Oryzias latipes: one gene and its partner. The protein of the gene in region 1 purifies or fractionates together with the protein of each later gene. This does not show direct contact. Links are inferred from orthologs where the notes say so. Each region holds a gene or a part of one and is shown on either strand. Other genes may lie near its edges.

Region 1 (4,450 bases):
TGCATCACCACTGTTTGATGTCTTTCAGGCAGGAAGACCAAATCCGTTCAAATTTTCAAAATAAAAGACTGTCGACCTGTTCAGGGCGTACCCCGCCTCTGTCCAACTGTAGCAAGGACAGGCTCCAGCAACCCTGTGACCTTAAATGGGGAACATGCAGCAAAAAAATTAAAATATTACCGTAGATTACAAATAGGTTTGCAAAAAGACGATGTAAGTTTACGTTTCCTGGTAAATTTTATTGCCCTGAAAGCAAAACAAAGAAAAGCACATTGAGTTTTAATGCTTAGAGGCAAGAGGATTAAGCAACGCCTGACTAAATCTGAATAAACCCGCTTATGGGATTGAAATAAAATAAAAAAACGTATTCTAGGTGAGACGTCCTGTTTGCTGTTGAAACCACAGACCAGTCAGTTCACCAAGTCACCACTAGGTGGCTTGTTACACAAGCCAGTTCAATTCTTTTTAATGTCTGGATACCTTTCATTTACATTTACAAGGAGATTTTCCTTCTTCATTTGGGGAGATTGCTTTGTTGATTTTGCCTGGTTTTAAAAAAAGAAAAGATAATGAATTGATTTTTTATTGAAGAATAAACAACTATTCATCAAACCCTTTAAGAAGCTCGGATTTTATGTAAAAAATATCACAATTTAATTGACAAAAGTTCTGCTTTTATTCAGTTTGTATCACTAGTTCTGTAAAAGGGATTTTTTTTTTTCTGAAACAAAACAGGATCTGATAAATCCACCAAAAATGTGTTTTAGACGCAAATATTCTCACACGCTCTGATCATTTCATTTGTATTTGACGAAAGAAAAAAGGTTATTTACTGAGTTTAACTGGAATTTAAAAATGCAGACTCTGAGAACAGAGAGGAATCACAAAAAGACAATGATAACAAATATGTTAGTTACTCGTTGATTTAGAGAAACTTTAAGTTTTAAGGCCAAATTGTTCCTCATCAGGTCATCTGCATCTGTGTTTCCTCTTTTACATTATTCCTTCCAATCCAGTTTTTCTGGTTTCTCTAGAAACATCAGAGCATCATCTTCACTCCAAAAGTGGACCTCCTCCTCCTCCTCCTCCTCCTCCTCCTCCTCCTCCTCCTCCTCTTTGCTTTTCTGTCCTTTGGCCTTCCTTTGTCTGTTTTCTCTTCAGGTGTTTGGCCTCCGTGTGACTGAATTTGAGAGCTTCTCTGTTTTTATCGTTTTATTTACAGACGCGCTAAAACTGTAGATGCCGCGTCATCTCAGGAACCCCGCGAGCGCATTTTCAGATCAGATAAAAGTGAAGCTCTTCCTCTGTGTTCAGGGTGGAGCGTGCACGTGTGTGTGCATGTGTGTGTGTGCTGACCTCCACCAGGTGGTTGTCAGGACCGTACAGGTCTTTGTCCAGCTCAATCACCAGGCTCTTGAAGAAGGAGGAGAACTTCTTCTTCTGTTTCCCCGGCTGCACAAACAAAGCAATAGTTAATTTTCACCTCATGACCTTCCTCCACGTCTAATGACTCATAGGAAGCTGAAACACAAAGAAGAAACTGGATTTCCTGCGAACCTAACCAGAAATATTTGTGGCTTCTGACACCTGAAAGGCTCCGCCGGCTGTCAAACATCAGACGGCTCCTTCTGCCCTTCATCTGTTTTCTCAGCGTCAATCATTGATATTTTGAGCCAGAAGACATTTTTTCAGTCCAAACTGTGGACCCAGACGCCTCAGAACTCTCAGATCAAAGAGCGACACACTTTCACGGCGATCAGTGAGATTGCAATCGGTTATTTTCAGACGTTTAGTCCGACATTTAACGCCTGAATTAGAAAAAGAAGCTCACATCATCCAGCAGCTTCCCTTCAACCCGCAGCTCCCACGATGCAATGCTGCCGTCCGAGTCGTCGGCGTCCGGCCGGGCCGGGTTGAAGGTGTTGGAGATGTAAAGTCTCAGTTTTCGTTTTTGCTGCTGACACGAAAACATGACAAAGCGCACGGATCAGGGCGGACCGGACCGGACGGACCTGCCGGCGCCGGCCGGGGCCGCTTCCACTACCTTCATGGGTCTCTTCAGGGCCTCCTGGATGTCCACGCGCTTGCGCATGATGGTCTGATCCAGTTTGCGCTCGAAAGCCAGCAGATCCATGTAGGCCTGGGACTCCGGGACCAGCTCACGGATCTGCTCGGAAAGAAGCCCGCCGTTTGGGATTAGACAGCGTGAATGAAGCAGCGTGATCTTCTCAGCAGATCCAATCAGCTTCAAAAGATGAGCGGTCTGTTCTGAGGCGTCTATAAAACACCAAAGCCTGTCCAGAGAAAGTTTGGAGGCTGTTATGAAGCCAAACCCTCAGCACTTCTAGGAAATTTTTAATATTTTACGCTTCCTTTGTGCACGACAAAGACCAGCAACAAGCAAAGCTGGTCCTCCCCTGAGCAAATAGTACAACACTCGACGTTACGTACGTACCAGTATAATTATATACTGTGGAGTGTGCATGTGTAGTGTAGAAGGTATACTAACTGAATACTTCTTTAGACTAAATTTCCATCATTAAAAACTGCTTTTATCAGTGTTTACTCAACCGACATCTTTCCAACGAAGTTAAATACTAAACTTTATGGCAGAAAAGTAATTCAAAATGCAATATTTATCTAAAATAGTAACAGAAATGAAAGACCCACTCTGATGAAAATGTGTTTTTAACATTTTTTTGTGGCCTTTTTCTCCTGGTGGAGGACATAGTTGATCATGGCGGCGGCGCGTGCACTCGCCATCTTTCCGTGGATTTTTGATCGCGTTTGTCCGTTTGTTTGTCTTTTTCTTACGGACTTTTATATTCTTATATTTTTTTATTTATTCTTGATGTTTACTTCTTTTTGACTGAATTTTGGGAATTTCGCTGTAGAAATACACTGACAATAAAAATCTTTGAATATTTAGAAATAAAATGAATATTTCTTTAGTCGAACCGTTGTGAACTAGGAGCCGAGGATAAAAACTGTTTAAAAGTTTAAGAAAACATGTCTTGTCACTAGAATATTTTGCTTGCAATAGGAATTCTTGTCAGGACAGTTTTTCTTACCCCACTGGCACAAAAAAAGCTTATTTAAATGGTTTTTATAAAGAATTTTTGATATATCTTTAAGGATTTTCGCACCAACAAATTTTAGGGATCTTTCATATTTAAAACTTTAAAGATAATCTATTAATCTCATTTTAATAACTCCTTATTATATTTTGTTACTTAAATGATTGTTCATATGACGATTTTGAATTTTATTTTCAAAAAGGGGGCTAAACCAAACATTTTTGCCCCATTTCCCTTCAGGATTTTCCTTTTTTCTATTTGAAATATTTAAATTTTTTGACCAGATTTACATTTTTTGGTTTGTGGGCCCCCCGGCGCCGCTTTCTTTGATCCTGCCAACACATTTTAGGGATTTTAACGTGTAAAACTTTACAGATAACCTTTTGGTCTCACTTTAATTCATCCTTTTAATATATATATATATATATTTTTTTTACTTAAGTGGGTCAGTTTTATATGACAGTTTTAATTTAAAAAGGGTGGAAAAAAAGTAATTTATGTTGCTTCCATAAAATATAAGTGGACAATAACTGCTGGTCTGTGTCATTTTATTAAAAAACTGTTACTGAATCAAAGCATATTAAAAAAAACACCCTAATTATTTTTTAATAAACTTCTATAAACTTCCTCATACAGAAACAACCCTGTGAAGTCTTTTTATGCAATTAAAAAGAACAAACTGTTTGACCTTTACTTCCTGAAACTCTTGATTTTACTCTTAATGCATCTTCTTCTATGAAAAGGAACAGAAAAAAAATGGGGATTTTTTCAACAAAACAGTTACAAATATATTTGTAACCAATCAAATAAAATAAAAATAAAAGTAAAAATTTGAAATCTCAGATTTTTCTTGAAATTCAGGGATGCTGCTCTGACCGACACAGATCTGCGTCCTCGGAGCATCTCTGCTCTCCAAGCGGAGCCCCCCTCCTCCAGTCCCCCCCCCCCGTCCTCTCCTTCATCGGGCTGATGATGAAGGACTGTTGCAGACATTCCTAGCGTCTGACTCACTGCTGTGGAGCGGCGCCCCCCTCCTGATTATCCGCCGTCTGGGTGGGGTCAGAGGACAAGAGCGGGTCTGGACGCTCAGGAGGAGCGGAAGCCCGACTCACCTGCCGCCTCTTTTAACGGCGCCTTCGTTTCAGTTTTGTCATTTCAGTGACAGCCCTAAAGAAACCCTCCAGAACCTCCTTGTCATTTAGCCGGTAACCGCGCTGCGCTCGGCGGCTTCATCCAGGACGCCACACAGAAAAAACAATCAGAGCAACAAAGGTACGCATAAAATTTACAGCCTCACCCTTTGCGGAAGAATCTTGTCTGCCATTTTCCTTCTCTTAGCACTAGAGACAGGGAGAGAAAGAGGAAAAAAAGAG
Region 2 (5,044 bases), on another chromosome or scaffold:
TTGACTTTCCATTTTGAGAAAGCGACTCACGTTTGCAGGTTATCTACCATGTTTTGCAGTTTGTACTAATTATTTTTTTTAGAAAGGCCTCAGCAGTGGTGTAAACTTGAATACTGCTGTGAGAAATGCACCACAACAGAGAAAAAATGTCAATTTTGACTTCTATTTGGAATTAAAAAACTGTTTTTTATTTTAAGTATTTTGATTCATTTCTCATTATGCAAGCTATTTAAAAATTCATAAAGGTTTAAAGCTAAATTGAAGGGCGGCCGTGGTGCAGCGGTAGGGCGGTCACCCTCCATACATAGCATTACGGGCTCAATTCTCGCCTTGCCCACTCATGTGTCAAAGTGTCCTTGGGCAAGGCACTGAACCCCACCTTGCCTCTGGTGGGAGGTTGGCGCCAGAGTTCGGCAGCGGAGTTGCCACCAGTGTGTGACTGTGTGTGTGACTGTAAATCGCCTTGCGCCTTCGAGGAAGGTAGAAAAGCGCTACACAAGTGTACGCCATTTACCCCCGGAATCCTTTTATGTGCCTTATTTTTTCCTCATGGTCTTCTGCCTCCAGACCTGCAGCCACTTCCACTGAAAAGTTTATGCAAAGTTTGGGGCTTCATTTAGAACTCGCATCTATGGAAGGTTCTACCGTTTTGGGTTCTACGTACAGAACGCATGGGCACTGAACGCACGTTGCAAGGTAAACCAGGTCAAAGTTTGACCAAGCAGGGACTTGGTAGTGACGAATGGATGGTGTCCTCTCGAATTCACAGAAGTGCCAACCATTGAAAAAAAGCTCATGGAGCTGCAGAAATGTATAATTGTGGTTTACGTCCAGCAGGAATTCTGTGATTTATCAGAATGGAGCTGTGAAAGAAAAAGTCTTGGGCAAGATTTGCACCACTGACATTTCACACCCAGCCTCTTCCAACTGTGGCAGATATAGTAAACAGTGGGGAAAGAAGAAGAAGAAGCCCCTCCCTGCTTGCCCAGTGTGAACTTAGTATTTTACCCTTTCATGGGTCAATTATGAAACGCATCCTCAGTGATAAACGAGGCAACTCTGGTTGGTCCAAATATGATGGACATGTTTTGTCAGTACTGACAGCCTCGGGTCACAAGCGTAACTTCACTATATGTCACAGTGTGACAGTCATGATAGTTTCAACCAGAACCCAACATGGCTAAGCTAAACGTGGATAGCAACCGCACATTTTAAATTATGTTAAATGAAAAAAAGTCTACCAAAAAAAAAATCATTGAAAATAATAAACATTTAGCAGAAATGGTGTTTTGGTGGTGATGGCCTCAAAGTGTTTTCATACCCTCCCTTCACGACAGGGGTTTTCAGGAGTGGCACAAGAAGGGCAACACAAGATTTAAAGATCTGTTTGTGGACAACACCCTGGATTCATTTGAGCGGCTAAGCCGAACATTTGGTAGATACCTGTTAGGCAGTATCTTCTCTCTCTCGCTGGAGACCGGTTTGGATTTGAAAGTGTGTAAACAGACCAGACGACACCGTGTGGCTGCATGAAGAGCTCAGATGTTTATGGATCATATATCTAAGAGCAACAGAATTTCGTTGTCACAAGTTTCTTGTGTAACAATGATAATAAAGGCTTTCTGATTCTGAACTTCCATTAGTTTGAATCAGAAAGCCTCCCTCTAATTCCATGTTGGTGTTTCCGGCCCTTTGATGTCTCTGCGGTAAAGCTGCTTTGTTCTTTTTGTGTAAAATACCAACAAAAATGACAAAGAGTCAAACTTTTTCTCTTTTTATGGCGATTTTTTTTACAAGTGAGTGGGTAAAAACAGAACAGCTGTGTTCCTGCCGCGGCGGACACCCTGTACCGGCTCTGGGGGCAGACCTGGGGGGCAGAGCGGAGGCGGCTGCGGCTTCTTTGTTCCGCCGCTCAGCAGGATCTGATCTGAGCTCAGCGCGCAGCCGCAGCCGCCCCCCCCCTCTTCCCCCGGAGCCGCGCAGGCGCACTGGCCTCTCTGTGCGCTCTACTGTTTGCATTGTGTCTGAACTGCCGGCGAGCTTTAAAAATATTTTAGCAGCGCGGAAATGTCGGGCAGGTCGGTCCGAGCGGAGACCCGGAGCAGGGCCAAAGATGACATCAAGAGGGTCATGGCCGCCATCGAGAAAGTACGAAAATGGTGAGTAAACGCCGGGAAAGGAGCGCTTCGTTACCCGGGAGCAGAAAGGCTCTCTTGTTGGGGGAGGAGAGGGAAGAAGCGAGACGGAGACGGATGAAATTGAAAGAAAACGACGTTTTCTGGACGGCAGATCCCGCCGCGGCTCAGGTGCAGCGGTCCGCACCGGCGTACCGGTCTTCGCCGGTCGGAGGCGGGCTTCGGCGGGAACCGGTTCGTCGCATAGCCGCTGTTTTTCCGCCGATTTTTAACGGCTAGGGCTGAACCCAGAAGAAGCCATTTCGATGCAGTCACATGAAGCCATTGCTGCTCGCTGCGGAGCCGGGAGCGCGAGCGGAGCGGCGCCGGCCAAACGAACACCCGGCGCGGACGGAGGGACCGTTCGATGACGCTCCGGAGTCCGGGCTCTTCGGCCCGCGAGGAGTTTTAAGGCAGCGCTCGGAGTCGCCCTTCGGGTCCGACGGAGCAGCGCTCGGTCGGTGGGGGTTGGGAGAGGGAAGTCCGCCGAGATGCATGGCTGAACGCGCAGCCAGCGGCGCCGAGCGACCGGTTCGCCGCGGAAAATCACCCTTTAACCGCCTTCAGCTTCTCCGCCGCACATATACGGTTATCACCCGGACACGAGGAGCGTGGATCCAGCCGCGTGACCCCGCCGGGGGGCGGTATTTTTTTCAATTTCTGCCTGTCTGGGTGGATTAATCAAACGTCTCCAGGTCAAAGTCAGAAGTTTATTTTTTTCGATTAAAGTTAAGAAAATAAAACGGAATAAACAAACCGGAACCAGAAACTTTAGGCGGGTAAACAAAACAGTTTCAGTCAGTTATTCCCCCAAATTTAAAAAAAGTTAAACATTTTGTTTGTAAATTGCAACAATTCATTCCTAATAAAAAATATTTTTAAAACACATTTTAACTTCTGTTTAGTTTTATTAACATCAGTTTAAGGATTAAACATTTGTTTCAGTTTACATTTTTTTCTTATATATGAGAAATTTTAATACCAAAATTGTTTATTTAGATAGAGGGATTTTACCTTAACACCTAAATGTAGCTTTTTTAAAGGTTTAAGTAGTGATTTAGAAAAACAAGGGAAATAATCGAATCATACTGATCAATAATCAATATATTGATCATTTAGTGACATTATTTTTATAACTTTTTTGTTGGTTTTTATAAATTATAGAAAAATATTTTTTTCCAACACACACTTCATATTCATTTATGAATAATAAAGCTGTTTAAGATTTTTGTATATATACATCTGATCGGTAACTAATCAATAATATAATTAATGTATTTTGTAAAATATAAAAGTAATAAAATCAGTTTGAAATCTTAAAATAAGATTTTTAAAGAGGAGAAAATAGCATTTTTCACATAAATCCCTTTTAACATATATATTTAAAGGATTTATTATTGATATAATTAAGGGGAAAAAATCTTCTTTTGATGTGATTTTTGGTTTTTTAATGAAAGGCGCTTCTGTCAGGATGATGAGGTTTTCCCCTTAAAGTCAGAGATGCTTCCTGTCCTGATGGTTTCCTCTCTTCAGGGAGAAGAAGTGGGTGACGGTGGGAGACACGTCCCTCCGCATCTACAAGTGGGTCCCGGTGACGGAGCCCAAATCTGAGGACGTGAGTCCGCCTCTGACACCTGTCAGCCGGGGTTTCTCTTCAAAATGGATGATTCTTATTTTCCGTTTTCAGAAAAACAAAAACAAGAAAAAGGGCAAAGATGAGAAGTACGGCTCAGAGGTGACGACCCCGGAGAACAGCTCGTCTCCGGGGATGATGGACATGCACGGTGAGGCCCCACCCCCCCACCTGAGGTCACAGCTGGACATGACAACAGGTCGTTCTCTGATGAATGTAAATAAAGGCTGAGCGTGCTTCTCCTTCAGACGACAACAGCAACCAGAGCTCCATCGCAGACTCGTCCCCAGTGAAGCAGGAAAACAGCTGTAGCACAAGCCCCGCCCCCGAGAACAACGCCGCCACGCTCCGTGAGAACAGCGAGACCAAGAGCGAGCAGAGCCCGGACAGCAAGAGAGGTCAGAGGTCAAATGCAAACAGCAGCTGGTTGGAGCCAGCGACCCCTCGGCGCAGCTGTAGCCTCAGCGCCGCCCTCAGGGAATTCAACCGTCAACCGTGTTTTCCAGACGGGCTCTGATTGAGAGCACAGAGAGGAAATGAAGTCAGACAGTCTGAGCCAATCAGAAAGGCTCTGTGTGAAGCCCCGCCCTGATGCGTTGTGAAAACGGCGCCCTCATCATGGCCGATCTTCAGAAAGACCAATTAAGATTTAATTGAAGCAAAACTGAACGAATCCAATACTTTGACGGAATAAAAGACAAACCTTTATCCCAATTTGTCACAGAATTCCTTAAATACGACCAATTCAATTTATAAACCCTAAAATTACAACAATAGTTGTCCTGATGGGCTTCAATGTGACGGAGAACCTTTACATCTCGTTACAAGTTGCAGTTCCTTCATTTCACCACAGGGTGTCAGTAAAGCACCACAAAAGGGACTGCAGTTTGATCCAAGCTGTGACCTCTGACCCACAGGTAAGACCACGCCCTCGTCAGAGACCTCAGAGAGAGCGCACGGCGCCAAGAGAGACGGCCAGTCGTCGGGGGAGAAGGAGTCACCAGACAGCAAAGCTACTCAGGTACAAACACACCTGCGTGGGTCAAGCTCCGCCTCCGCAGGTGTTTTGAAATGCGTGCAGATCATCCGTCTTGAGGTCTCCTGCTGTGATTTTCAGAAACATGTTTAATATTTGTGCTGAACATCAGCAAAGCAGACGACTGAAAGTCCTCAATGTTGGCGTTTATGCAGCGGATTGATTTAAAACTGTTCCTCATTTTTTGAACGTCTGCTGCTC

Evidence for each region.
Region 2: the proteins of smarcd3 (region 1) and bcl7a purify together in Homo sapiens (affinity purification with mass spectrometry; 4 studies listed by BioGRID and IntAct, counting the BioPlex papers as one, with this or other methods). This does not show direct contact. The link is inferred for Oryzias latipes from reciprocal best matches to the Homo sapiens genes SMARCD3 and BCL7A.

What each region holds. Positions count from the first base shown.
Region 1 is NC_019878.2:21,171,049-21,175,498, reverse strand, and holds part of smarcd3 (SWI/SNF-related matrix-associated actin-dependent regulator of chromatin subfamily D member 3), read right to left. Parts: intron 4,418-4,450; coding exon 4,375-4,417; intron 2,168-4,374; coding exon 2,045-2,167; intron 1,958-2,044; coding exon 1,832-1,957; intron 1,453-1,831; coding exon 1,357-1,452; intron 1-1,356. UniProt on the Homo sapiens protein: Involved in transcriptional activation and repression of select genes by chromatin remodeling (alteration of DNA-nucleosome topology).
Region 2 is NC_019870.2:1,211,704-1,216,747, reverse strand, and holds the start of bcl7a (B-cell CLL/lymphoma 7 protein family member A), read left to right. Parts: upstream 1-1,960; 5' UTR 1,961-2,067; coding exon 2,068-2,159; intron 2,160-3,707; coding exon 3,708-3,958; intron 3,959-4,055; coding exon 4,056-4,205; intron 4,206-4,724; coding exon 4,725-4,828; intron 4,829-5,044.